3 linked regions of the Arabidopsis thaliana genome follow. The protein of the gene in region 2 interacts with the protein of the main gene of each other region in a pairwise test. Each region holds a gene or a part of one and is shown on either strand. Other genes may lie near its edges.

The links.
Region 1: the proteins of AT4G12450 (region 2) and AT2G19650 interact in a two-hybrid assay, tested with the Arabidopsis thaliana proteins (one large-scale study listed by BioGRID).
Region 3: the proteins of AT4G12450 (region 2) and AT4G01090 interact in a two-hybrid assay, tested with the Arabidopsis thaliana proteins (one large-scale study listed by BioGRID).

The regions. Positions count from the first base shown.
Region 1 is NC_003071.7:8,491,802-8,499,922, forward strand, and holds AT2G19650 (Cysteine/Histidine-rich C1 domain family protein), read right to left. Parts: upstream 4,092-8,121; 5' UTR 3,903-4,091; coding exon 1,854-3,902; 3' UTR 1,668-1,853; downstream 1-1,667. Other genes in the region: ASHR2 (ASH1-related protein 2), read left to right, coding at 1-796; AT2G19660 (Cysteine/Histidine-rich C1 domain family protein), read right to left, coding at 4,919-6,991; PRMT1A (protein arginine methyltransferase 1A), read right to left, coding at 7,477-7,682, 7,768-7,918, 8,019-8,121.
Region 2 is NC_003075.7:7,383,674-7,390,856, forward strand, and holds AT4G12450 (zinc finger (C2H2 type) family protein), read right to left. Parts: upstream 3,259-7,183; 5' UTR 3,002-3,258; coding exon 2,168-3,001; 3' UTR 2,022-2,167; downstream 1-2,021.
Region 3 is NC_003075.7:467,875-477,076, forward strand, and holds AT4G01090 (hypothetical protein (DUF3133)), read right to left. Parts: upstream 6,006-9,202; 5' UTR 5,527-6,005; intron 5,414-5,526; 5' UTR 5,375-5,413; coding exon 3,573-5,374; intron 3,486-3,572; coding exon 3,425-3,485; intron 3,332-3,424; coding exon 3,108-3,331; intron 3,018-3,107; coding exon 2,960-3,017; 3' UTR 2,632-2,959; downstream 1-2,631. Other genes in the region: TBL26 (TRICHOME BIREFRINGENCE-LIKE 26), read right to left, coding at 146-401.

The sequences.
Region 1 (8,121 bases), on a different chromosome or scaffold from region 2:
TTCTCCTTCTGATTTCCAGATTTTGCTCTCTCTCCAAGGTAGTGGCAGCAGCAATGGAGATCCTTCTTGTTCTGCGGGTGATTCTGCAGCTGCTGGGTTTCTTCATTCTCTTTTATCTTCCGTGTGTCCATCTCTTCCGGTGTCTATCTCGCCGGATCTCACGGCGGCTTTACTGTCAAAGGATAAAGTTAACGCCTTTGGTCTGATGGAACCGTGCTCTGTTTCGAATGAGAAAAGATCTGTGCGAGCTTATGGGATTTATCCAAAGACTTCGTTTTTCAATCATGATTGTCTTCCTAATGCTTGTAGATTCGATTATGTTGACTCTGCTTCTGATGGTAATACTGATATCATCATTAGGATGATTCATGATGTTCCTGAAGGTAGAGAAGTTTGTTTAAGCTACTTCCCTGTGAACATGAACTATTCGAGTAGACAAAAGAGATTGCTTGAGGATTACGGTTTTAAGTGTGACTGTGATCGGTGCAAAGTGGAATTTAGTTGGTCTGAAGGTGAGGAAGATGAGAATGAGATTATGGAAGAGATGGAGGATCAAGATGAACAAGAAGAGATGGAAGATTCAGTAGGTGAGAATGAAGAAGAAGTTTGTGGAAATGGTGTGGATGATGAATCTAATTTTCCTCATGCTTACTTTTTTGTGAGATATATGTGTGAGAAGGAGAATTGTTTTGGCACTCTAGCTCCGCTTCCCCCGAAGACTCATGATGCTTCGAGAGTTCTTGAATGTAATGTTTGTGGAAGCGTTAAGGAGGATGAAGTTGGCGTAAATCAATGAGGAAGGTTAGCTTAAAGAATTGATCAGCCGAAAATCTCAAGCTTGTTTGATGCAGCCAGACCCAAACAACAAGAGACTTGTCTTGGACCACATCGTTAATCAATGTTGTTTGTTGTTTGATGTTTACTTTTTTTTTTTTACTCAGTTTTGAAAATTCGATAAGTATTCTAGCTCTAGAATTCCATATCTAGGTTTTTTGTTTTCTCCTAGATAGTCTGAAGAATCAATTGTAATGGTCTGTGGAATTACACGGAAACAGTTTTGTTGTAATAATGGAGCATCAGTTTTCTTTGGTTGAATGAAAAATCATAATTTTTTTGACTTTTTAAGTTGAAAACTGCAGAATTACATGGCTTGATGATGTTTGCATTGTTAATCTCTATTACTCTTCAGTGTGCTCAGTGCCTGAAACCATAGCTTCCTTGATAGGGATCAATGTATTGGTAAACCAAATTGTGTAATAGTTTTTCCATAAAATAGATTCAATAGAACCAGTGTAACAAAAAATTATTAGGGGGCTCTGTTTTAAGGTCGCAACATGACGGTGACACAAACATTTTTTAGTGATTAACTTGTTCTCATTCTGTTCCAAGTTCAACAACACAAACTGAGTTTTTTGGCTTCTCTATCAGAGAACTAATGTGATTCTACAACACAACCTGCTCTGACTGACTTACTCTGCTATGTTCTGTTTTGCTCTGCTCTGTTCTCACTTCCACGTCTCTGTTTTTGTCATTGACATTTCGACTTGTAGGAACTTAAACATTTAGTGGATTGACTGGCAAGATTGATCCAACCTTTTCCAATCTTACATCCATAAATAAGTTGATATTTTTTCTGGTTTTTATTTGGCAAACACTAATGCACCCTAGGGTTCAATGAGATATATATATATTACACTAACACAAGTACACAACCAAATGTTATTGTAGGGACTTGTAATAATTTAACAGACCCAGATTCCTCACAAATTCTACCAAATTTGCGAGTCATTCAAGCTAGCAAACATTATCATCTATAAATAAATAGTTTTCTAAACATAGTAAAGAACATAATTTTAAAATTCGAAACGTTCCTGATAAATTTTCTTCTCACATTCTAAAGAACAAAAGTATAGATCAGCTCCGTCCTCGGGAAGCGTACGAACGAAAGGGAGCTTGCATCGAGAGTTGCACACGCAGCAAAGTGGTCTACAAATAGAGTGGTTGGATACAAATGTTCCTATCCATGTTAACGCTCCTGGCATGGAATATGCGTAAGTATCTATAACGCAGGAAATATGCAATGTGATCCCACACTCATTGCATGTATAGAACCATTTTTCTGGGTTCACAGTTGTTTCGCATGCTTCACACCAATATTTGCCAGCCACGCCCATTTCGCCATAAGATAAGAAGAGAGGATGATCGTCGTACCTATGCCTCATTACCTTTTGCGGTAAAATAGCACACTTGAAGCACAAACCAAATTCACAATCATCGCAACTCAATTTCCCGTCTCCATCACACTCACTACAACGTTTGGAGTGATCTGTAGAGTAGTGTAAAGGATGTTGATGGCTTTTGTGCTCAAATGGTTCTGTAACTGTAGCGCACCGTACATCTATCCTTAATTCCTTAGATTCATAGGAGAAACCGGTGAACAGTTGACGGCAAATACTACACCTATGTAACAAGTAGGTGCCATAATTTGGGGATAGTTCGAGTGGCTGGTTGTGGCACACATGACGTTTCTTTAAAGGAAGCTTGGCACATTTTTCGTGGATTATGAAATCGCATCTCTTTCTCGCGCAAGCGTAGAACGGTTCTGAACAAATCTGGAAGACACATGCGGTACAAACTACACTTTCTGGTAGATTCCAGCCACGGTAAATTCGTAAGTTATGCTTATGGCCGTAATGGTCTATCGTGTTGTCATCAATCACCTTGAATGGCGCAGTTTCCTCTTCTTCGGGTGTCCCTTCCAGTTCGATCATGTCCCATACATCCCTTCTGGTTGCGCATCTTGAATGAACAAAATAATCAAAACATTTGGAGCAAGAATAAGCCCCGTAGAACCCATCCACATTTTTACGACAAACTCTGCATTTCCCGTCTCCATGTCCGAGGCGAGGGGTGTAAGAGATGCGGTGGTCGTGGCGGTTGATGTTTATGACGCGAGGTAGATCGATACATTCCCGATGAATCATGAAATTGCACTGAAGACAGAAATAAGGGCTACGGTCACCTAGCGTCCCACAAGCATTGCAAGTGAAGTCAATGCGTCTTGGAACAAGGTGAAGTTGATGTTCATGGGTCCTCGGGCTTTTAACAAGAACCGGTGGTGGGTTTTTCATACATGATCTGCATATGCTAAAATTACAAACACCACAGTGGTGAAGCTGGCGATGGATTCCATCAAACTCCTCGCGGCAAAGAAGACATTTCTTGTCGGCGTAACCAGGGACTTCATATCTAAGTGACTTGAGTGGGTGTTGGGGGTGAGAAGTGTGGTATGCTTCTGGACTATTATGATCGATACAATCCAGACTGATGAAAAACTCGCATTGATGACATGTGTAGAAATGTTTCCAGCTATTATGTTGATGGCCACACCCTTTGCAATCTCTGAGTGTTTCGTGCGCTTCATGGGAGAGTTGGAGTGGATGCTCGTGTAGGTAGGAGTTTTCAGCAAGAACAAGTAGGGCTGGTCTCCTCGCGCAAATCAAATCCAACTGGAAATCACATTTGTTACAGCGATAACCGACACTGAAAAATTCTCCACAGAAACTACAATTAGAAACTCTGGTATGTAGGAGGATCAGCTTGAGAGGATGGACTGGATGGTAAGGGTGGTCGATTTCTGGTAACGGCTTGGCGCACTCTTCATGGAACACAACATCACATCCCGGCTCATTGCATCGGTGTCCTCCGTAAATGTAACTGCAACCGGGATGTTTGGAAATGAAGCTTGTATTATCTTCATCGGTCGAGTAGCATCCTTTACACTTGGTGAACTCGAAGCGTGTAAAAGGTATCAACGGATGCTCATGAAATGGTAACAATTTTTCAAGGCGGGATGCTTCTTCGTCCATGCCTTCATTAAACAAAGCTAGAAAGTTTTCCATGGTGATGTTTTCTTACTTCCACCAAAACACAAAGCTCTTCTCTTCTGCACTAGTTTCAGACTTGGTTTCTTGTTTTTCTCTCTTTCTTTTCTTTCAGGATTTTTTTTCAAGTGGTTTATCATTTTCAGACTTTGCAAATAGTTAATATGAATTCGCACCACAGAAATGATTCTTTTCATTACTGAGATTGAGACCACATGTGTTGGCTTCATCCTTGCATTATTTAATTAACTCAGACCACATATGTTGACTCTGCAACTATTGTGTCCGGCCAAAACATAAATAATTGAATGAATACAAAAAAGGTTTTTTCTTGCATTAAATGGAATAGAAGTTTATGGATAGAATAGTTTAGAATTTAAATGGATGGAACTGTACATTTTGTGGAAAAAACAGTTTGAAGTCTGAACCACACAACTCCTTGGCCAAGTAGCTTTGGAGGTAGACTTTGCTGCATTCAAGTCTCTGAAACCAAAGTTTTATTATTGTATTGCATCCACTAACTTTTATGTAATTTCAGACCAAAAGATTTGTATTTTTGTCTTTAAGACCAGGATTGGGCCAATCTTTGTTTTTTAATTTTTATACAGCCAAAAGTAAGTTCTATTTCCACCATCAGATTGTATAACCCATTTGAATAACACTATAAAGTTAACATATATATACCATCTGAAACATTCGAAGAATCATTTGTCAAATCACATGTATTCAAATCACTCAGAGCAAATTTTGATTAATAAAGAAGTTAAAAAGACATACTGCGTATACATGAGCTGCTCTTGCTTTAGCACAAAACAGAGACCAGATTCCAGTTCCAGCTCTAATGTCAAGAAACTTGTTCTTTTAAATATCCTGTTAAGAAATTCTGTTTCTAAGATCATTGAGACTGCTGCTGACTGGATTCAAAAGATTGATAATTGTGGAAAAAGCGCATAAGCTTGAGGTTAAAAAAAAACTATTGTAAAACATACTTTTGGAATTAAATGGTACAAAGTTTTTCTTCATTAAAACATGCCTTACCAATCACTACTAGAGTAGTTATTAGAGCGGTTGAAATTATAATAACAGTTTAAAGAACAAATGTATAAAACAACATCGGCTTTGGAAACGACCTTAACAATGGAAGGAAGCTTGCATTGAGAGTTACACACATAGCAAAATGGTCTACACATAGAGGTGTTGGATACCACCAAGTCTTCCTCCCATCCTATTTTGGAACCTGGCATATAATATGAGAAGTCTCCCACAACGCATGAAATATGCAATATGACACCACAATCATTGCATGTATAGAACCATTTCTTCGAATTCACTTTTGTTTCACATGCTTCACACCAGTATTCTCCATCCACACTACTTTCACCACACGACAAGTAAAGAGGATGATCGTCGTATCTATGCCACTTTACTTTCTGCGGTAAAAGAGCACACTTGAAGTCCAAACTATAGTCACACTCATCACAGCTAAAGCTTCCTATATCTAGATCCATGTTTTTGCCACATTCCGTACAAGACTTAGAACTACGTTTCGAAAAGTATAAGGGATGTTGATGGCTTTGGTGCACCAATGGTTCTCGAATTGAACCACATCGTACATCTAGAGTAACCATACGAGTAAGACACTCGTACCTGAAACCGGTGAAACTTTGCCAACAAAGATCACATGAAGTTTCGTCTGAAGTATCATTTGTGACTAGGGTAAATGGTAGGTTGTCGCAAACATGCCGTTTCTTCCGAGGCAGGTTAGCACATTTTTGGTGGAGAATGAAGTCACAATTCTCGCAACTGTAGAACGCATCTGAACAGATCTGGAAGACACATGCTTTACATAGTGTGCTTTCATGGAGAATCCTCCCATCCTTGTTGATTACTAAGTTATGATCATGGCTAAAATGTTTGATCGTGTTATCATCAATCACCTCGAATGGCGCATCTTCCTCTGGCTCTTCGGGTGTCCCTTCTAGCTCTATCATGTCCCATACATCCTCGTCCGTTGCGCATCTCGAGTGAACAACATAGTTAGAACATTTTGAGCAAGAATAACCCCCGTAGAAGCCATCAACCTTTTTACGACAAACCCCGCATGTATTTTGCCCATGTCCAAGACGACGAGTGTAGGAGATGCGATGATCGTGGCGGTTGATGTTTATGACGCGGGGCAAATCGATACACTCCCAATGAATCATGAAGTTGCATTGAAGACAGAAATAAGGGCTTTGATCAGCTTGAGTCCCGCAAGCATTGCAAGTGAAACCGAGAGGTTTTGAAAGAAGATAAAGTTGATGCTCATGGGTGGTCGGGCTTACAACACTAAGCGGCGGTGGGTTTTCCATACAGCCGCCACATATGGTAAAGTTACAAACATCACAGTGGTGAATTCGTCCGTCAAACTTATTCCCGCAAAGAAGACACTTGTTGTCGGCGTAATCGGGTGCTTCTTCACATCTAAGGAGCTTGAGTGGGTGTTGGGGGTGTAAAACGTGGCTAGCTTGTGGAAAAAGTTTGGTACACTCCACATGAAAGCGTAAATCGCATTTATTACATTTGTAATGAACAGCATCGAAAACTCCCCATTTGCATGTTTTGCAAAGTTGCACAAAACCGTCACGGGTTCCATCAGAGAGCTGAATCGGATGCTCGTGGACAGTGGATTCTTCAAGAATAAATTCCAAAGGCAACCTCGTCGCGCAACGAAAATCCAACTTGAAGTCACAAATCGAACAAAGATAACCATTTTCAAACGAAGATGGACACTGGCTACAAGAAGCAAGTGGTTCGACATTTATGAGGAGCTTTAGAGGATGGTCTGGATGAGAATAGTGGTTGATTTCTGGTAACGGGTCGGCACACTCTTTATGAAACACAGATTCACACCCCAACTCATTGCAATGGTAGCCTCCATATATGTAACCAACATACCCACACCCTTTACAAGCCTTGTAGGAAAAACGAGTAAAAGGTAACAGCGGATGGTTATGAATTGGTGGTACCTCTACTTTTTCCATGGTGATCCAAATCAAACCACAGATCTCTTTTGTGATGTTTTTCTTTTCTATTTTTGTTTCTATCGGATCTCTCAAAGTGGGCATATAACGATGAATAATCAAATAATGCATATGATCAAAATTAATGCCATACCACGTGAAATATTGATTATTGTTGCCACTGAGATCCAGCGTCCACGCCATGTGAAACAACTAAAGTCTGACCCAAGGCGATACTTCCAAGGCCTGACTATATCCAATTTTTAAAGTTTGTTATCGATCCTTCTCTACATCTGAATGAACTTGTTTGTAAGCGGTCAAATCAAATTGTAATTAGTTGTGTGATATATACACTATTGTCGTATTTGCTTAGGTTTCTTGAACCAAACGAATATTGTGGTCGAGAGGAACAAGAAACTATCATAGAGGAAGAGACGCACAGTGAGAGAGAAAGAGAGAGATGGTTAATATCTAATTCTGAAACATAAGCAGCAATAATGGAAACAGTAGAGATACAAATGAGATTTGTCCATCTCAGCCTCAAGATGATGAAAGGTACTTGTGGGGGATTTTACATCCTCTGAGAGCTTTTAGCGCATCTTATAGAAGTGGGTCCTTGAGATATTGCAATGTTGGCCGTTCAAAGAATAGCTGAGCTTTATGTCGACGTCTCTGGGATTCTTTTTGTTTTGTGCAATGGTCATGCTTCCTGTGATTGTTTCACCCTCGCATATGGTTAACACATCTTCCAGGTACAGCACAGTTTGTTTCCAATGCGTAGCCCGCGATTTCGGTCCTGCATTGCATGTTGTGACTTGTAATGTGAGTACCAAACATTGACAAACATCAACATATTTCACTCATGTTTAGGGAAGTCGAACCTGTTGAGAAACCCATCTTCTTGTGACACATAGTGAATGACACATCGAAGTAGGCTACAAGGGCATGGATATGGTCATTTCGTTGTGCGACGAGCTTAAACGGAGCTGTGAAGGAAGCATCTCCAGCAGCCATCTTAGAGATATCCATTGTCTTTAGTCAAAAAAAACAAAGGCCAACAACAAAAGGAATATGCATTAGCTACAGAAAATTAGGGAGATGTAATTAACTACTACAGCACAATCTTACTTACCTTCAGCAGCTTGCTATCAGTCACGATTTGGTTACCATCAACGGTGTCAACAAGCGGTTCTGTAATTGCTCTTCTCTTGATGCACGACATGTCAAACCCATAC
Region 2 (7,183 bases):
ATATATGTTCATTCTTAAAATTTCGAATCACATAATATGACGAAATGTTTTTTGAGATTTTTTTAAACTCTATATATTATATAATGATGTTAATTATTTTTGATAGATTAAACTTTTTATAAATTCAAATATTAATAATGTTTTATGAAGTTTAAATATACAAATAATAATATTTAAAAAATTAATATTTTTTGCCTTTTAGGTAATGATATAATATCTCTAAAAGCAAAAATTTAGAAGATTTAAATCTTTAAATAAATATTTTCATGCCTAAATAATTAATGTCAGTAGCATGACATTGTAAATAAGTTCAAATACATGATTTGTTTATTTAAACAAAAAACGTTTAGTAAGAACAATATTTATTTAAACAAAAAACTTTGTTTTAAAATATTGTTAATAAAAAACGTTTATGCTAATTTTAAGGGATTGATGTGAAGTTTGTTTGGATTAAATTTGATTGATAATGCGATTGACAATTTAAATTAAAAATTTAAAGTAAAATTTATTATTTTGGAAAAAAGATTTAATGCTAATGGTATTGGGTTGTAAATAAGTCCAACTCTATGATTTCTTTGCTAAAATGGCTGCAAAAATGTATATATAGATTGTCTGTTTTTATGTTATTCTTATATAAACGAAATATTTAAGTCATAATGTAAAGAACTATTATTAGGATTTCCACTTGGTATTGTAATTATACATCATCATAATTTAAGTTAGACTTCCACCAAATCTGCATTTTCATGATTATCTTTTTCTGATCACTCTTTTTAAGTCAAACTAAATCGGCCTCATCAAGACAACAACAACTAATTAAAGTTAATCTACATAACAAACTTCTGTTAGAAATGTTGAGTTGCATTGTATGGTACTCAAATATACGTTTATATGACTCAGAACGATGGTGACTGATTAGACAAAGCGAATAAAACAAATAAAAAGTAGGATTAAGTGATTTTTTTTTTTTTTCAAGTATTATTGTTTAGTTGTTAGTTGTTACGAAGATTAAAATGATATTTTCTCATAAATGGTCAGCACTTTAAAAAAAGAAAAATGCTCAGCTCTTTCATATCTTTTAATTTTATTTACTAAATTGAAGAAAATGATGATAATTTTATTGGTATACTAAAACTCATTATGCATGTATTGGTGCACAAAATTTTAAAATGCGAGAATTTGTCATTTCAAATTAAAACCTATGAACTTGTGCATATTATGCAAAAAAGACTTCTCACCATATCACATTCCACAGTTACACTCTCTCTACATATTCTGAGTTCTGACATAACCATTCGGTTAAAATCATAATGTACCGTATTTTAATAAATTTTCGTCATTATGTATCATTGTTCTAAAAACTCATCTTCATTCCTCCACATAACTCTACTAAGACCAAAATGACAAATATTCTTATGTAAATTCAAAATTTTCATTAACTTTTTTTATTTTTAATAATTAATTTTCATTAACTTAACCAATCGTATATAGGTTGTCCAAAAAAAAAAATCTCATTAATATATGCACACACATAAATGTATATTTTTATATATTTGCATGTAATCTGCATGTGAGTTGTCTCTTTTGCAGTCAACGAATTAATTTTAAAATGTGCTGCATTTGTTATATATATCAAACAATTTTTCACGAAAATATTTCCCATAAAAATAGTAATTAGTGACGTTGAATCAAATTTGTTTCTTATTTAAATAAAGTATACACTTGTAAACATTTTATATAATGAAACAAAATTAAAACTCTAAAACATCATATATAATGAAACAGATGGAATATATTCATATACTTGCATTGAATAAGTGCACTTTATTTTTAGACTGGGAACTCTTTACCATAGCAAAAACTTTATCGTTTCAGTGGTTACAAATCACATACATAAATAAAATTAATGGTTGTAAAAACGGTATCACTAATTATCTCTTATCTAATTTGCTACCTATCAATGATTTTATTCAATATCGAATCCTGCCAAATTGTCTAAACCTTAAACATAAGTATATAGATTGGACCCTAAAAACAACCAAAAATATATTTTGAACGAAAAGTTAAATATAAATCTGAAAAATACGAAGCAGATACAACAAACCAAAAAATGGAACCAAAATATATAAATCAAAATTAGTATAAATTTTATAATAATTATTATTTTTTACAATCTGAAAAAGATTAAGAAACAAGGCAACACCGCGCGAGCATCAAAGACAATCAACTCACCAGCTCGACCCGCTACCGAATCCGACCCGAATTCACCTTTCTTCGCAACCCGACCCGCAATCACTCTACAAATCAACATCGCTCTCCTCCCTCCTCCGCCGCCAGTGCTCGCGTGCGCTTCTCCGCTACCGGAAAACGTACAAACCGCCGCTCCTTTCCCTCCGGGAAAACCCCACGCGCCGCCGTTTATCCCTCCCGGAATCGGACCCAACGGAAAAAACCTCATCATCTCATTCCCATCAGCGGAGCACCGCGCGTTTTCATCACACGCGCTGCCGTCAACTCTATCAGAATCAACTTTCGAACACGATCGCGATTTCACAGCTTCTCTATATTCCTCAAACCGGGTCACAGCTTTTGACCCGTTTTCAACTTTAAAAATCATTTCAACCCGACCCGGAAACTCATCGGAGCTCCAACTAGATTGGAATATAATCTCCACGACGTTTCTTGACGGATGACCATCAGGAAGATCGGTCAATACGGGCAATACAGATTCCGAGGAAGCTCGAGCTGATACACTTCGTCGGGTCGGGTGATGAGAATTGGAGTCTAATTCGGGTCGACGAGAAGAGCATAAACGTCTTAAACTCGGGTCCGGTTTTGGGTTTTTCTTAACGGTTCCGGGTTGTGTATTGACAACGTCTCTAACGTTTTTTCTGCAGCTGTAACTTGGCAATAAGAGTTTACCTTTGTTGGAGTGATGATGATAGACATCGTCGAATGCTTTTGATTTGCAATGTAAGGATTTGACCCACCCGATCGGCATATTTCGGGTTGTGTTTTGATTTGGAACCGGATCCGGGTTGTGTCTTTAGAAATTTGAAGTTTGTGATATGTTTAGAGATTTGTGGGGGCTTTGAAGTTTTTGGTGTATGTATGTAATGTACCCATGAAGTATGAACATTGTCCCGCCGTCTTAGAATGGACGTTTTATCGGTTGGTGTTTCTTTATGGTAGTAAATGACGATATTACCCCTTTTATTTTGGGTCCTGACCAATGTCAACGTGAATTTTCCAGCTTCTTGTCTGTAAAAACAAAAGAAACTAATTATGTATCATAACCACGTACAATGCTTTTACCTTGTTAATCATGATTGAATTAACACATGTCTCATTTTAGTTAACTTCTTGTAATGTTGAAGTTAGTTATAACATATCTTTTTCCTTGCCGATGAATTTCTTGATCTAGTTTTTCTTGTGTCAGCGAGAATATCGTTTGTGGTCTATTGATTATGACCATTGTTCTATCCAATGCATAGTTGGATGATGAATTCAGGACAAATAATGTTATTACTTGCGCCAAATTGCTTTTTAGCTTTTGTTTTCAAGCTCTTATACATATTTTGTGGATATATTTTATTTATCCCTTTTTAGCATTGTAAAATATTTTTGTATGTTTTGTCTTAAACTTTATGATCCTTGTATTCTTGGTTTTTTTGAACCTTGTGACTTGAATGATTGAAATGAAATATTTGTTCCATAATAATTATAAAAGAATATCAAATTTTAATAGTATGTGTTTTTAAATAGTAGCTTTCTTTGTATGATGTTGGAATGTCGGATTCACCAAAACGAACTACAGTTTATTTTTTGAATTATTATATGAACTAATTGCATACAATTTGTTGGTGAAACAAACTAAATAAATTTTAATATAAAAATATATAGAACTATGAGAAGGAAGAAAAAGGTAATGCGTCGCTATTAATTTTTTTTTATGCTTTAATAAGACAAAAATGTCACATTTGAAGCTGCAATATCATGAAGCGACAACTTTAATTTAATTTTGAGAAAAGATATGTATTTTCGTGGTATTTTTATATATAGTGGCTTCATGTTATTGCATCTAAAATATGTATAGTGTATGTATTGGATAATTTATATATAATATATAAATATATGGCTTAAGAAAATATATTCTGGGAAACATATATAGTGTATAAATATATGGATTAAAAAAATATACTCCTTCAAGAAAATATATTTATTTAGTGTATAATTATATAGCTTAAATATAGAGTTTGATTAGTATTATTTAGAGAAAATAGTAGAAAAGAGTGAGAGTAAACAAGTAGAAATAGAATATACAGTATCAAGAGAAAATAGCAAAATAGAGTATAATTTTTTTACTCTTATGGAAAGTAGAAGAAAATCTACTCTATTTTTTTAACATAAATGGAAGAAAATAGAAAATAAAAATGATTTTATTTATCATGAATGCTACAAATTAAACAAAATTGAGAATAGAAAAATTTCAACATTTTTATTTCACTCTAAAACCTTGATTAGAGATCTTTACAATTGCGTATTTCAAGAACAAAAAAAATGTTTGCATATTTTAGGTAGGATGATATCTCATAAACCGCACTTATTTATCTTTTTTTTTCTGAAAAAAACAACTCTTATTTATCGAACAACAAATTATCCATTGGTACAAATCGAATTATGCATTGAAAAAAGTAAAAAATTGATTTTTTCATTTCATTTAATTTGTGAGTAATATAGAAAAGAGTTTGATTACCACTAACTAGTATGTAGATGTCAGAAACCTCAATTAGAAATTTGTGGATGTTTCGATGTCTCTATGCCTTGTTAATCGAACAAGATCGAATTTGAAGAATAATGTATTAAGTTATGTATAATGTCGTTACAATCTGACCCTCCTTTACAATTTCATTTCTCTCCTTTTATATTAATATTGTGAGATTCGTAATCACAAATAATGTTTTTCTCGTGTCGCCGATCACGTCTCGATTTAATGTTGTTCGTTTCGAATCCTTATTCCGCCATCATCGCTCTTCACTTTACTCTGTGATTCGTCCGTTACGAAGCGCAAATACTAATCCCCTTCTAGATCTTTCTTGGGCAGCGATAGGCATTCCTAAACCCATGGGTCTTTAAGCAAATAGACCTGATATCTGTTCTCGGCCCATAACATGTATCCGTCTATATTGTGGGTTGGGTGGATAACAAGATCTGACATTTACATAGTGTATGAGTGATTTAAAGCAATATGAGAAGTTAAAACTAGCACTTAACTTTGTGCTAAATTCTTTAGTTTAACTTGTTAAAAAATTTCTTAATAAAATAAATTGCCGAATTTACTTAACAATTTATTTCTCTCCCTAAAATAAAAGTATAGCCTATAATTTTTTTAAATTTTTTTAATGTTTTTAACTATCTAATTCGCAAAAAAAGAACCCTATAATATCAACATATAAAAACTAAAAAGGATTAGAAATATCATTGAAACCAACTTTGTTAATCAAACTAGAATAAGGGCCACCACATTAAGGACTTAGGTAAAAGTGGTGTAAAATGTAAATTGTTCATTTTACAAAAAAAAAAAAAGTGGTCTAAATTGCTTTTTGTGATGTGAAGTTGTGAACTAATATGAATTTGGTCTAAGTCTATTGCCCAAATTATTTATCCTTTTAGTCCTAGAATTTGTTCCAAATTTGATAGTATATAGCATCATCATCAAATTGATCAATTAAAATACGTGACCTATAGACCATAGAAACAAATTATTTAGTAATTTTTTTATGGTATATAGCAAATGGAAATTGTTTTTATGGTTTTCAAAATTTTTTTTTCTGGTCAATTTTTTTTTTATGGTTTTCAAAAAATGGAAATTATTTAGTAATTTTTTTATGGTTTTCAAAAAATGAAAATTATTTAGTAATCAAAATGGAAATTATTTAGTAATTTTTTATGGTTTTCAAATTTTTTTTTTTCTTTCTTCCCGACCTCTCTCCCCTCTCCTTGTTCGCCCTAGCCGTCAAGGCCATCTTCCTCCTCGTTTTGGCCGGTGATTGGTGGCTTCCATAGCACCGTCGCCGGTCCTGTTCTTAGTAGTTTCAGTTTGTTGTCTCTTAGTTATTCTTTGTTCTGATTTTAGTTTCTCAAACCCTAGTTTCGTCGTCTCCTCTTCAAATCTCTCTTTTTTGTGGTGGTTCCGATGTGATGACTATCATGGAGGATGGGTGGCGGATCGGTGCTCTTTGTAGTCGGATCTATTCCCCGGTGGAGCCGTCTCGTTTCTTCGATCTAGTTATGGAGGTTTGTGTTTCCGATCTGGTTCTAATGTCTCAACTATCGGTCTTGTTCTTGTTAGTTTGAGAATTGGACTTGATTTGTTGTATGTTCCGGCTGGTTCTGATGTGGATCTATTGAGTTCTGTTCTTGGATTTTGTTGGCTTTGCGGTGGTGCTGTCTCGTTTGGGGCGTGTATTTAGTCGGCTTTTCGTTTCCATGAGTTAGTTCTGTTTATCCCTTTAGTATTGCAGCAACGGCCTCTTTGTATGCGGATTCTTCTTCCGTTTTTGAGTTCGAGTGACTTCTAGGGTTTGTGTTTTGCTGTGTTTTTCGACTGGTTATGGTTTGAAGCCTCAGGTTCAGCTTTTGGGTAGGCTTGTTTGACTCCTAGCTCTGCCTATCTCTCTGTCCTCCTCTTGGTTTTCGGTGTCGTGGCTTGGTGGAAGGTTCTGTTTTGTGGGTTCTTCAATCGGATGCTAGCCTCCTATAATGGCATCTACTAGCTCTCTGTTGGAACCTCTTTTGGTTTCCCGGCTGAGTTCTGGACGTTGTGGTGGGTCGATCTCTTGTCCTTCTCTTTGCGTGGCGTAACCAATCTTTAGTCTGTAGGTGGCTTTGGCTGGGTCTACGAAGGTCCGTGTGTAAGGATGAGTGGTCCTTTTTAGCGTTTCCCCTCTCGGATCTCAAGGTCTTCCTTGATCCTTCGCCTTCTCATGTTCATTGGCGCTAAAGCGGTTCTGATGGTTAGGTTCTGTGTTCTGATCTTCTTGTTTCGTCGTCTTCGTTTTTGTTGTGGAGATGGTTGTGTGAGCTCGTATTAAATCTCTTTTCAAGACTCCTGTCAGTTGCCTCTCCTCAGCGCCAAACTGTTCTATGGAAGTGTTAGTCGGCGGCTTGTTGGGAAGAGTTT
Region 3 (9,202 bases), 6.9 Mb from region 2:
ACAAGTTTTGATCGAAAGCTTCGAAATTTCCAAAATTAAACCCAACCCAACAATCATTGAATCTCCATATTTGGAAAGATTCTCGAATCTTTATCAAAGATCAAATTCGAAATTGAAGGACAACGAACTGCGAAAGAAAGATTACCGTTTCCGGGAGAAGATTGCGGCAATGTTGGGGGAATTGGAGAGACGGCGAGACTGGAGATGATGAAATAGTAAGCAAGAGCGACGAGAGAGAAGTAAAGGAAGAATTTGACGAAGGTTCGATGGCGGTGATCAGTGCAGGAGGGAACAGAAGAAGAAGAAGAAGAAGAAGAAGAAGAAGCGGCTTCTTCAAAGGTTTCTACATATTTGGCGCCTTTTGGGCTATCAAGCAATACTAAGGTTAATTGTTGTTCCATTGAAGAAGAGAGCACAGTGAATTTGGTGGAAGCTATTCAATGATTTTATAGTTGGACTCGTGAGAATGAGATGGTTAGGTTTGAGATTAACTTTTAGGATCTTTGTGACCATGAAAGTGATGTTTTGTTACCCTTTTTTACTTTTATTAAATGCAGGAATAATAATTTTGTGAATTTCAGACAGTCTATTTATTAATTACTGCAGAAAAAGTAATTTTATTGATACAAAATATTTTGTCTCAATAGAAACATATTTGTAACAGTAAAAACTATTGTCATGAATTTGTGACAAGTAGTAAATTGTAGTGATACAATCGTTACAAAAAAATATGGTATTAAAAAGTCACACCATTGTGAGATATACAATATATTTGATTACAATTTTGTCACAAACAACGACAAGAAAGAAGAATAACAAAACCGTAACAATTACAGATTTGAATTATACTTTCGAACTGTCATATTATATTTTTTCTGTTCCTTTTTATTTGATTTTTTTGGAAAAATATTTGTTTTAAAAAGATTGATTTTGTAAATTTTCTATTCAATATTTATTAGTTATTATTAATAAATTGTAAATTTTAATAGTTCAATCATTGGTTTAAAATAATAAAAAATTGTAAAACACAAAAAAATAATATATTTAATATCAATTTTAATATATTTTTTTTAATATGTGTATTTTTCCTAAAATATCAAATAAAAATGAAAAGAGGGAATATTATAGTACAACTATTCACACACCATGCAACATTGAATATACTGCGACATTGAATATACCATCACCCTGGAATTATGTTAACCACAGTCAACAAAAAAGAAAAAGTTAATTAGCTCTGTGTAAGAAAAAAAAAAAGAAAAATTTAATTAGCATTGTTGTTCCAAGATTTTTTTTTGTCCAAGAAGCATATATGATTATAGGCTAAATTGTTGGGCATTCTTTTAAGTTATAACAAATATTTTTGTAGATTTCTTTGTGACAGCAATATATATTGGAAATGGAATAAAGAATATTTCAGGATTTGTTTTTTACAATTATGACTTTTGATAGTGAAATTCTGATTAAAAAATTCAGAAAAGTTTTTTTTTTTCAACTTTGCTTGAGGAATCCAAAAATATGTTGGACCAGCCCAGATGGTCTCATTGTCCTTGTGTTTATTAATCACATATTAGTAATAACTTGAGTTTTTTTCTTTTAATTTATGTGAAGAAGCACATGCCCTGCTTTTGGTCCTCACACCTTTTATCTCAACTTAGGTGGTATACTTGTATCTCCACAGCCTTTCGTTACAACAATATCAACCTTTCTCTTGAATCTTGGAACTTAGCAAACACGGAAGCACCACACTTTTTGATGATATATTGGGTTATTCAAAACATTGCTATGTTTGTGAATTCATGAGACTTATTAGTTATTAGAATGATGCAGGTAACTAGTTTAAATATTTGGTATAAGTTTAACAATGGTAGAATTGGTTTTTAACATTTGCGTGAATGAACTAACACTAGTGTTAGTATATAAAGAGATATGAAACATTCTAGTGACTCCAATTATTGCTAATAATATTTTATTTTATTTCTTCATTGCTAAAATTTTTTTGTATTGAGAATTTCTTGATTCCTCACAATTTTATTATTAGTGGACAACTTCTGCTTACTCGTTTTTCTCATGCTCGCTACTAGTTAGTATCTTTTTGTTCTTACTCTAATTTTGTATTTTTCTAAGAAATATTGAAACATGAAAACTAAACGAACGGACCACGAGGCCTGTTAAGAACAGATTCTCTTTCTTGTTTGATATTGATATTGATATTGGGCCCATGAGTAAGTTATAATCTGTTGTCTTGTATTTTAGGAAGGACCCACTTCAGAAACGTGCAAAAACTAGTCCATCAGCCAAGAGAGGAATTAGCAGACAATATGAACATTTTAGTGGAAAGAAAGATGAAACCGGATAACTAACCGATAGATAGATAATCCCAATCCATAATTCACCTAGAACTCGAGGAAAGGGCAAATCAAGCCTAGAAGCTAATCATGAAGAAAGAAAGATCAGCTAGGAGAACATTGTTTAATTGAATTGTTGAGTATGGTCGAATGACCTACATATATTGTTGCTGACATGAAAGAAACCTACAAACCAAAACCGGTTTAAATAAACGATTTAGTTAAACCAGAGATAATAAGGAATTAGGAGGAGTAAACCATGTTATCGATGAAGCTTCTGTTACAACTTACAAAAGAGCAATAAAAGAGATAAAAAAAAAAGTCATTAAGAGCAAACTAATATCATTCCATAAAAAAATGGAAATAATACAAAGCACAAACCTTGTACCGAGAGAACCCGGTTTGTATACAGTCTATAACCCCTAAACCGGTTCTGGTCGCAATAAAAAACATACAGACATTTCCCCAAAGATATTTTAAAAAGAATACCAAAAATCAAAATCAAGATGTAAAAAACACTTTACAGTTGTGTTTAACAAATAAATAATATGAAGATGGAAACAAGAAGCAGAATCATATTTTGGTTGTGTAGTTGTTACTAGGGGGAGTTTTCATGAAGCTAATGATCTTGGAACTCTCATACCAAATCCATGCTTCACTTTCTCAATCCTGTTTCAAGTTTAACACACTAAAACTTTAGAATCTTAGGTGATCTCAAAATCTCAAAAGAATAAAAATCATTTGTGTGAATCTGCTTACGTTGGGGCTAATTTGCCAAGGCTGTGAAGTTCTTCTCCTGAATCTTGATCAAGGATTCTTCCTGATATATCAACAATGTAAGAACGGTTCTTGTCTCTAGGCAGACCACGACCCACAAGTAACTCGAAATCTCTCTTGTGAAGCTCTCTTCCATTCACAAACACGTCTGTGTTTCCTGCAGCGCAGTTATCCAGCATTGGATGGCTAAACTCTTCAATAAATGGCTGCAACAACAACAAGTAAGTCAACCATTTCTTCATCAATTTGATGACACCATTCCAATAATCAACTTGAGAGAACAATGTGAAGGTACTTACAGGTATTATACCGAGACACGGTTTGCCCATCACTCCCCAGAACCCAGCTCGGTAATCATACCTGAATCAGAGACATGTATCAGAAACTGAGTAAAGGGAAAAACAAAAACAAGAGAGAAACAGTGGATGCTGAAGTTCATGGAAGTACCAATACTTTCCAGCTTGGATTGGTCCAGCTAATTTCTCAGCACTGCTAACAAGATCTTCTGGTATAAGATGTCCATTAACCCAAACCTCTAATGACTTCATCTGGTCTTCGTTTTGATCAGTAGAGGACCTCGTTGTGATCTCTGTCGAACCGTACTCACTACCCTTTCTGTTTGAGTACCTTGAATCTTCTGAGATCTCGGTGTTAGAGTATCCATTGTAAGAAACCTCTGTCTCTGTAGCTACTGATTCTGGTTTCAGCGAGTCCTGTGTCATGAAAGACTTTTGCTTATCTGGCTTTTCATAACCTAACTGCGCCATTCCATAAGCGAGTGCAGCTCTGTTTACATTAGAATACTCAAAAAGTTCAAGGAGACTGGCATTATCAGGAGCAGCGGGTTCAGGTGCTTTTGACCCTTTACCTCGCCGACGAACAGATTTGACCTCCTTCTGTTGTTGTTCACTAGAATTGCTCGATCTTTCTTCATCATCTGAGTGTTGAGATTCAGAGCGGACGCTTTGCGTAGTAATAGTATCCTGATGATTTCTCAGTTCTTGCACTGGTTCTTCTTCATCCTTACGTGGAATATCTCTACCTGAGCTGTTGAAATCAACAGAAGAGACTTCCTCCTCTATCACTACTGTGTTTGTTGTGTTTCTATCTTCAACCTCTAGAGAGACCGGTTTTGTTTCCTCATTACCAGAAGAGAAAACGAGTTTCCTATCAACGATTGTGAAACTAATAACTTCAGAACAAGCACCGCACTGCAGCTTATGTAACCTTTCCTGAGACAAAAGCTTCTTCTTAGGCAAGTAAAGCAGCTCAAAGCAACTATGACAAGCTATAAAAGGAGCACCACCAGCAAGAGGATGACAACGTCGAACACCAGTATCCGATACAGCTTTCTTAACATACCCACGAGCAAAAGCACCGCCCATTTCAGAATCATGTTCACTCGGCCACCTTGCATAACCACCTCGAGGACCTGGAGTGCCCATCGAAGAAGGAAAACTCGAACCGTTATTAACACGTGGACTATACGGTGTCGTGAGTTTCTCGCCACGATGGTGAGACGAAACCGGGCTATACGGAGGCATATCACTGTACTGTGTAGCGAGTTTCTCTTCACGATGGTGAGACGAAACCGGGCTATACGGAGGCAGGTCACCGTACCTACCAGGAGTAGCTGGATAGTAAGAATGTGGCTCAACTATATCAGGACCAAGTTCAACATATTGACCTCCAGGATACTGACGAGCCATCTGATTAGGGTAATGACCAGGAGGATACCAGTTTGGATTAGGAACTGGAGGTGGTCTTCTTTGGTACCCATAAGGATCTTGATAAGCTTGAGGATACATTCCATGAACCGGTCCAGGGTATTGAATAGGTTCTGGATACTGATGGTAATAAGAAGGACCAGGATTATGATTAGCATGACCATGAAGATGAACTGGTCTAAGGAAAGGCTGATTCTGATCTGGTTCTTTAGGTTTATCAACTACATTATTACCACCACCACCACCGCGAAGTAGATGATCTTTGATAGAATCTAACCTTCTTAAAAGCTCAGCTCGTTCATGCTCTGTATACTCAATAGGGTTGTTGCTGCTGCTTGTGTTCTTAGATGAAGAATCTGATCCGTAATTAGGCTCGTCATTTCTCAAGCTTTTTCCAGATCTTTGAGACCCAGCTCGCGAATTTGAGTGTTTCTCCTTCAGACTCGTTTCTTCTTCGCTTCTTGAAGAACCAGCATCTGATCTCGTACCTTCTGCTTCAGAGACATCGCCTCGCGACCTCATCAGCCACTATTTCTAGGGTTTTGCTTTGTTTTTTTCCAACTGCGATTCAAATCAAAAAAGTTTCGATTTTTTATCAAATTCGAACTCAAAAACATATATCTCCGATTGAATTCAGATAAAACGAAGAACCAACAGGTAGAAATCAAACGAACCGTGAAGAATGTCGTCGGCGATATAGGTGAGAAGACGAATTTGATGATCTTCTCCGGTGGGAATAAATGAACCAATCTCTATGATGCAACCAATTTTCTAAAAAGGGGTTTTTGGAAAGAAAATTCAGAAGAATTAAAAGTCTTCTTCAATTGCTTCTTGGGGGATTAAATGTCTGCTTACTTACTACCAAACTTGAGCTGGAAGGTTTAAGCAACAATTAACATTATTATGTTAATTTTCTTCTAGCGTTTTTCCTTGGCTTTCCCGGGAATCTTAAGGGAAAGACAAAAGAAAATTTGATGAATAGATTTGAAAACTTAAGGAGGGGAAGAAGATGGAAGCAAAAAATCAAACTTTGTTAGCGTTGATTTGATATTCGTTTTTTAAAACTTTTGAGTAAAGAAGAGATGAGCGCGTATGTAATGTAAGTAAGCGCGTGAAACTAGAATTTAGACTGTAGTACGGTTGAGCGGACCGGGTCTCGTTGACTCGCAGATAAGGAGACTAACCAAATTATTACTAAAATATACGAAATCTAGAAACATGAGTGTGACTGTTTACCGACAGGTAAATTAATACGTTCTCAGATATCGCAATTTTCCAAATTTGTGAACTTAATTACTAAGAACAATTCAATTACTCGGGAAAAAAACATTCAAATTTAGAACTTACGATTACTAGTAGTATTTGATTTTTCAATATATGCCAATAAGCAGCAATAGTTATTTTCTAAAACTAAGACGACTTCCTATTTTCGTACTTTTGTGAGTGTGTTTGTACGAAAACAGACCAGCTAGTCAAATGAAATTATACATTGAGCAACCTTTTTTATATCAATAATACTAGGTCTGGTCATTCGGGTATCCCTATCTGTTTGGTTCTTTTTTGGATATCAAATCTATTCGGATATGAAGAGGTTGAGAACCATTCAGATATTCTAAAAACTTGGTTCGATTTTGGTTCGGATTCGGATCGGTTCGGTTGTTTTAGTAAAAATATAAAAATAACCAAAAATATCAATAATATTTTCAGATATTATTATAATAACCAAAAATACCCAAATATTATTATAATACAATTAAAAAGTAAATAAAAATAGGAAAATATCACTTTATATGCTCAGAAGACTGAAAAATTAGGTGTAGGAATTGTGGACTATTTCAACAGTAAAAGAACTAATGAAGTTACTTTATTATTCTTCTGTATTTTTCTTTTTTTTAATTAAAGTCTCATATATTGTTTTGTTACTAAATATTTTCATTGTTATCATCAGGTTAACCTCGTTAACAATTATTAGTAAATATTATGTATAAATTATCCGTTACAGTAAACATTATTCATGTATCGAATATCTTAACGTTTTCATATAAATATTATTCTGTTATATAATATATTAGCATGTTATCATTCTATATATCATGTAGTTATAATTATTATCATGTTAATTATATAAAAAAGTCTAATTTCCTTTTATTGTGCTGAATATACATAAATAAAAAATTCTGATTTACAATTTTAAATCGATAAATATGTTTTAACAAATAATTTATAAACTTATCGCGATATCATAGTTTTTAAAACATTAAACAAATAATTATATACTTATCATCCGAATATTACAATTATTTTTATTCAATAGCATTTTTGTAATTAATTTTTTTAAAAAAAATTTTTTGGTTTATATATTATTTATCTTTCATACTTACCTAAATAACTAATATTTATATATAAATTCTTTATTTTTTCATCATCCTCCCAGCATATCGATTAATATAGTCCATAAAAATACGTCAAGTTTAATGCTTCCATGTTAGAAGACGTGCTCTCAAAACTTCTTCTTTTGTTTGTTTTCTAATTCACAACTTGAATCTAAAAGAAACCTGGATCCTAAACGTTGAAAAATATTAACCTCGTAAACGAAGACTTGAAAGATATATGGGGAGTGTTATATGATCACATAGTGTAGGTCGCCTTCTGACTATTTTTGTGGTTTATACAAAAAGCTACGTACAGCTGTAAAGTCTTCTACTCTGTGTCTCTGTCTATCATTTAAAGATGGATTTATAGATAGTCCACTTTCCAACACCAATCAGATTTGACAAAAATATTAACATTGCATTTTTGGGATAACTATCGTTGACTTTTTTACTACCTATTTTATCGGTTAGTTATTAGACTAAGGAAACACAGAGTTTAATTGACAGAACTTCTGAGCTGTTTAGGCCCGTAATTCTTTCCCTAATTGATAAAAGGGCCCTATTTGTTTAGGTGCATAACAGGCTTCATTATATGGGCTTAGAACGGCCCGATTTGTTTACATGAAGACTTTTACATTTTAATAATTTGAACTTGATCATGTAAGTGAGTATGAGTAATGAGCTGGTGAACTTTTTTTATGTGTGATCTACATAATTATCACATAGAATAATAGCCATAAGGCTTTCGGTATTTGATTCTTATCAACTGTGGTCCGACATCTACTTTTATACACACCCACTTGTTTTTTTGTTAAAGGCTTTTTTCTTTGTTTTGAAAGTAATGATAGTGTATATAACTAAACATAAAAACTCGATATTGATTTGTTGTTTTGAGTATGGACCCTCCAAAACATGAAAAGACAAGAAACAAGATTGATGGCATAGTTGCAATTTTCTTATACATTATATGATGGGTCTGATTGGTAACCAAAAGGTATACAAGATTTTTAGCTGTTAGATTTATCGGAATAGTGCAAAGCTGTTAGAAGGAACTATACAAAGAAATTATTAAAAAAAGGTGAGTATAAAACTTTTAATAACACTTTTGATAAAGTTTTTGTGATTGGTAACTTTCAAAGTTATACAAAGCTATACTATTATTATTGTGGTTATCATTCAAACCCGATATCATCTTGGAAAAAGTTAAAATCTCTCTCCGCTATACTTAACAAAAATAATTTTTTTGGGAAAATTATTTTATCTTTTTGTCGTTCCTTCCATATTAAGCCCAACAATATTTAGATAAAAATATAGATAGAACTAATTTACAGTCTGTGAAGTATGTAGTGTGAAAGTATTTCAACTTTTTTTATGATCCCAAAATTGATGTGGTTACGAAAACTTACTAGTATTACAAAGACTGGAAGAAGTAACCAAACAAATGGATCATACTGACCAAACGGGATCAAGCACTAACACAGTTGTACCATTATCACGTGGCGTACATATATGGAGAGAGTATATCTTACGCACTTAGTAACGCGCGTTAGATAACACCTGATGGTACCACATCATAAGAAAACTTTGCAAACAAATCCTTAAACTAACAATTGTTTCTGCATACACCCCTTGACTTAAAATTCTTAACTTTTTTTTCTACACTAACTTCTTTAACAATTGAATAACGAGAGTGTCGAAATTCGAGTGTACAACATTTTAAAACTGTTTTTTTTTGTTTTTAAATCCTTAACCTCTTAAATATAATATCAAGTGTATAATTGTTTAAATCTTTAACCTTTTAAGAACTTAAAAGATAGGTGACGTTGAACATAATTAAATATCACTAAAAAGAAAAAATCACAAATGCGGCTACTAATCGCCACACACTCAACTTCACCGCTGACGTGCAGATTTTTAATCAAATGAAGAATAATTTCGCACATTTCGAAGTAAAAGGGCTATTTTACAAAACATGATT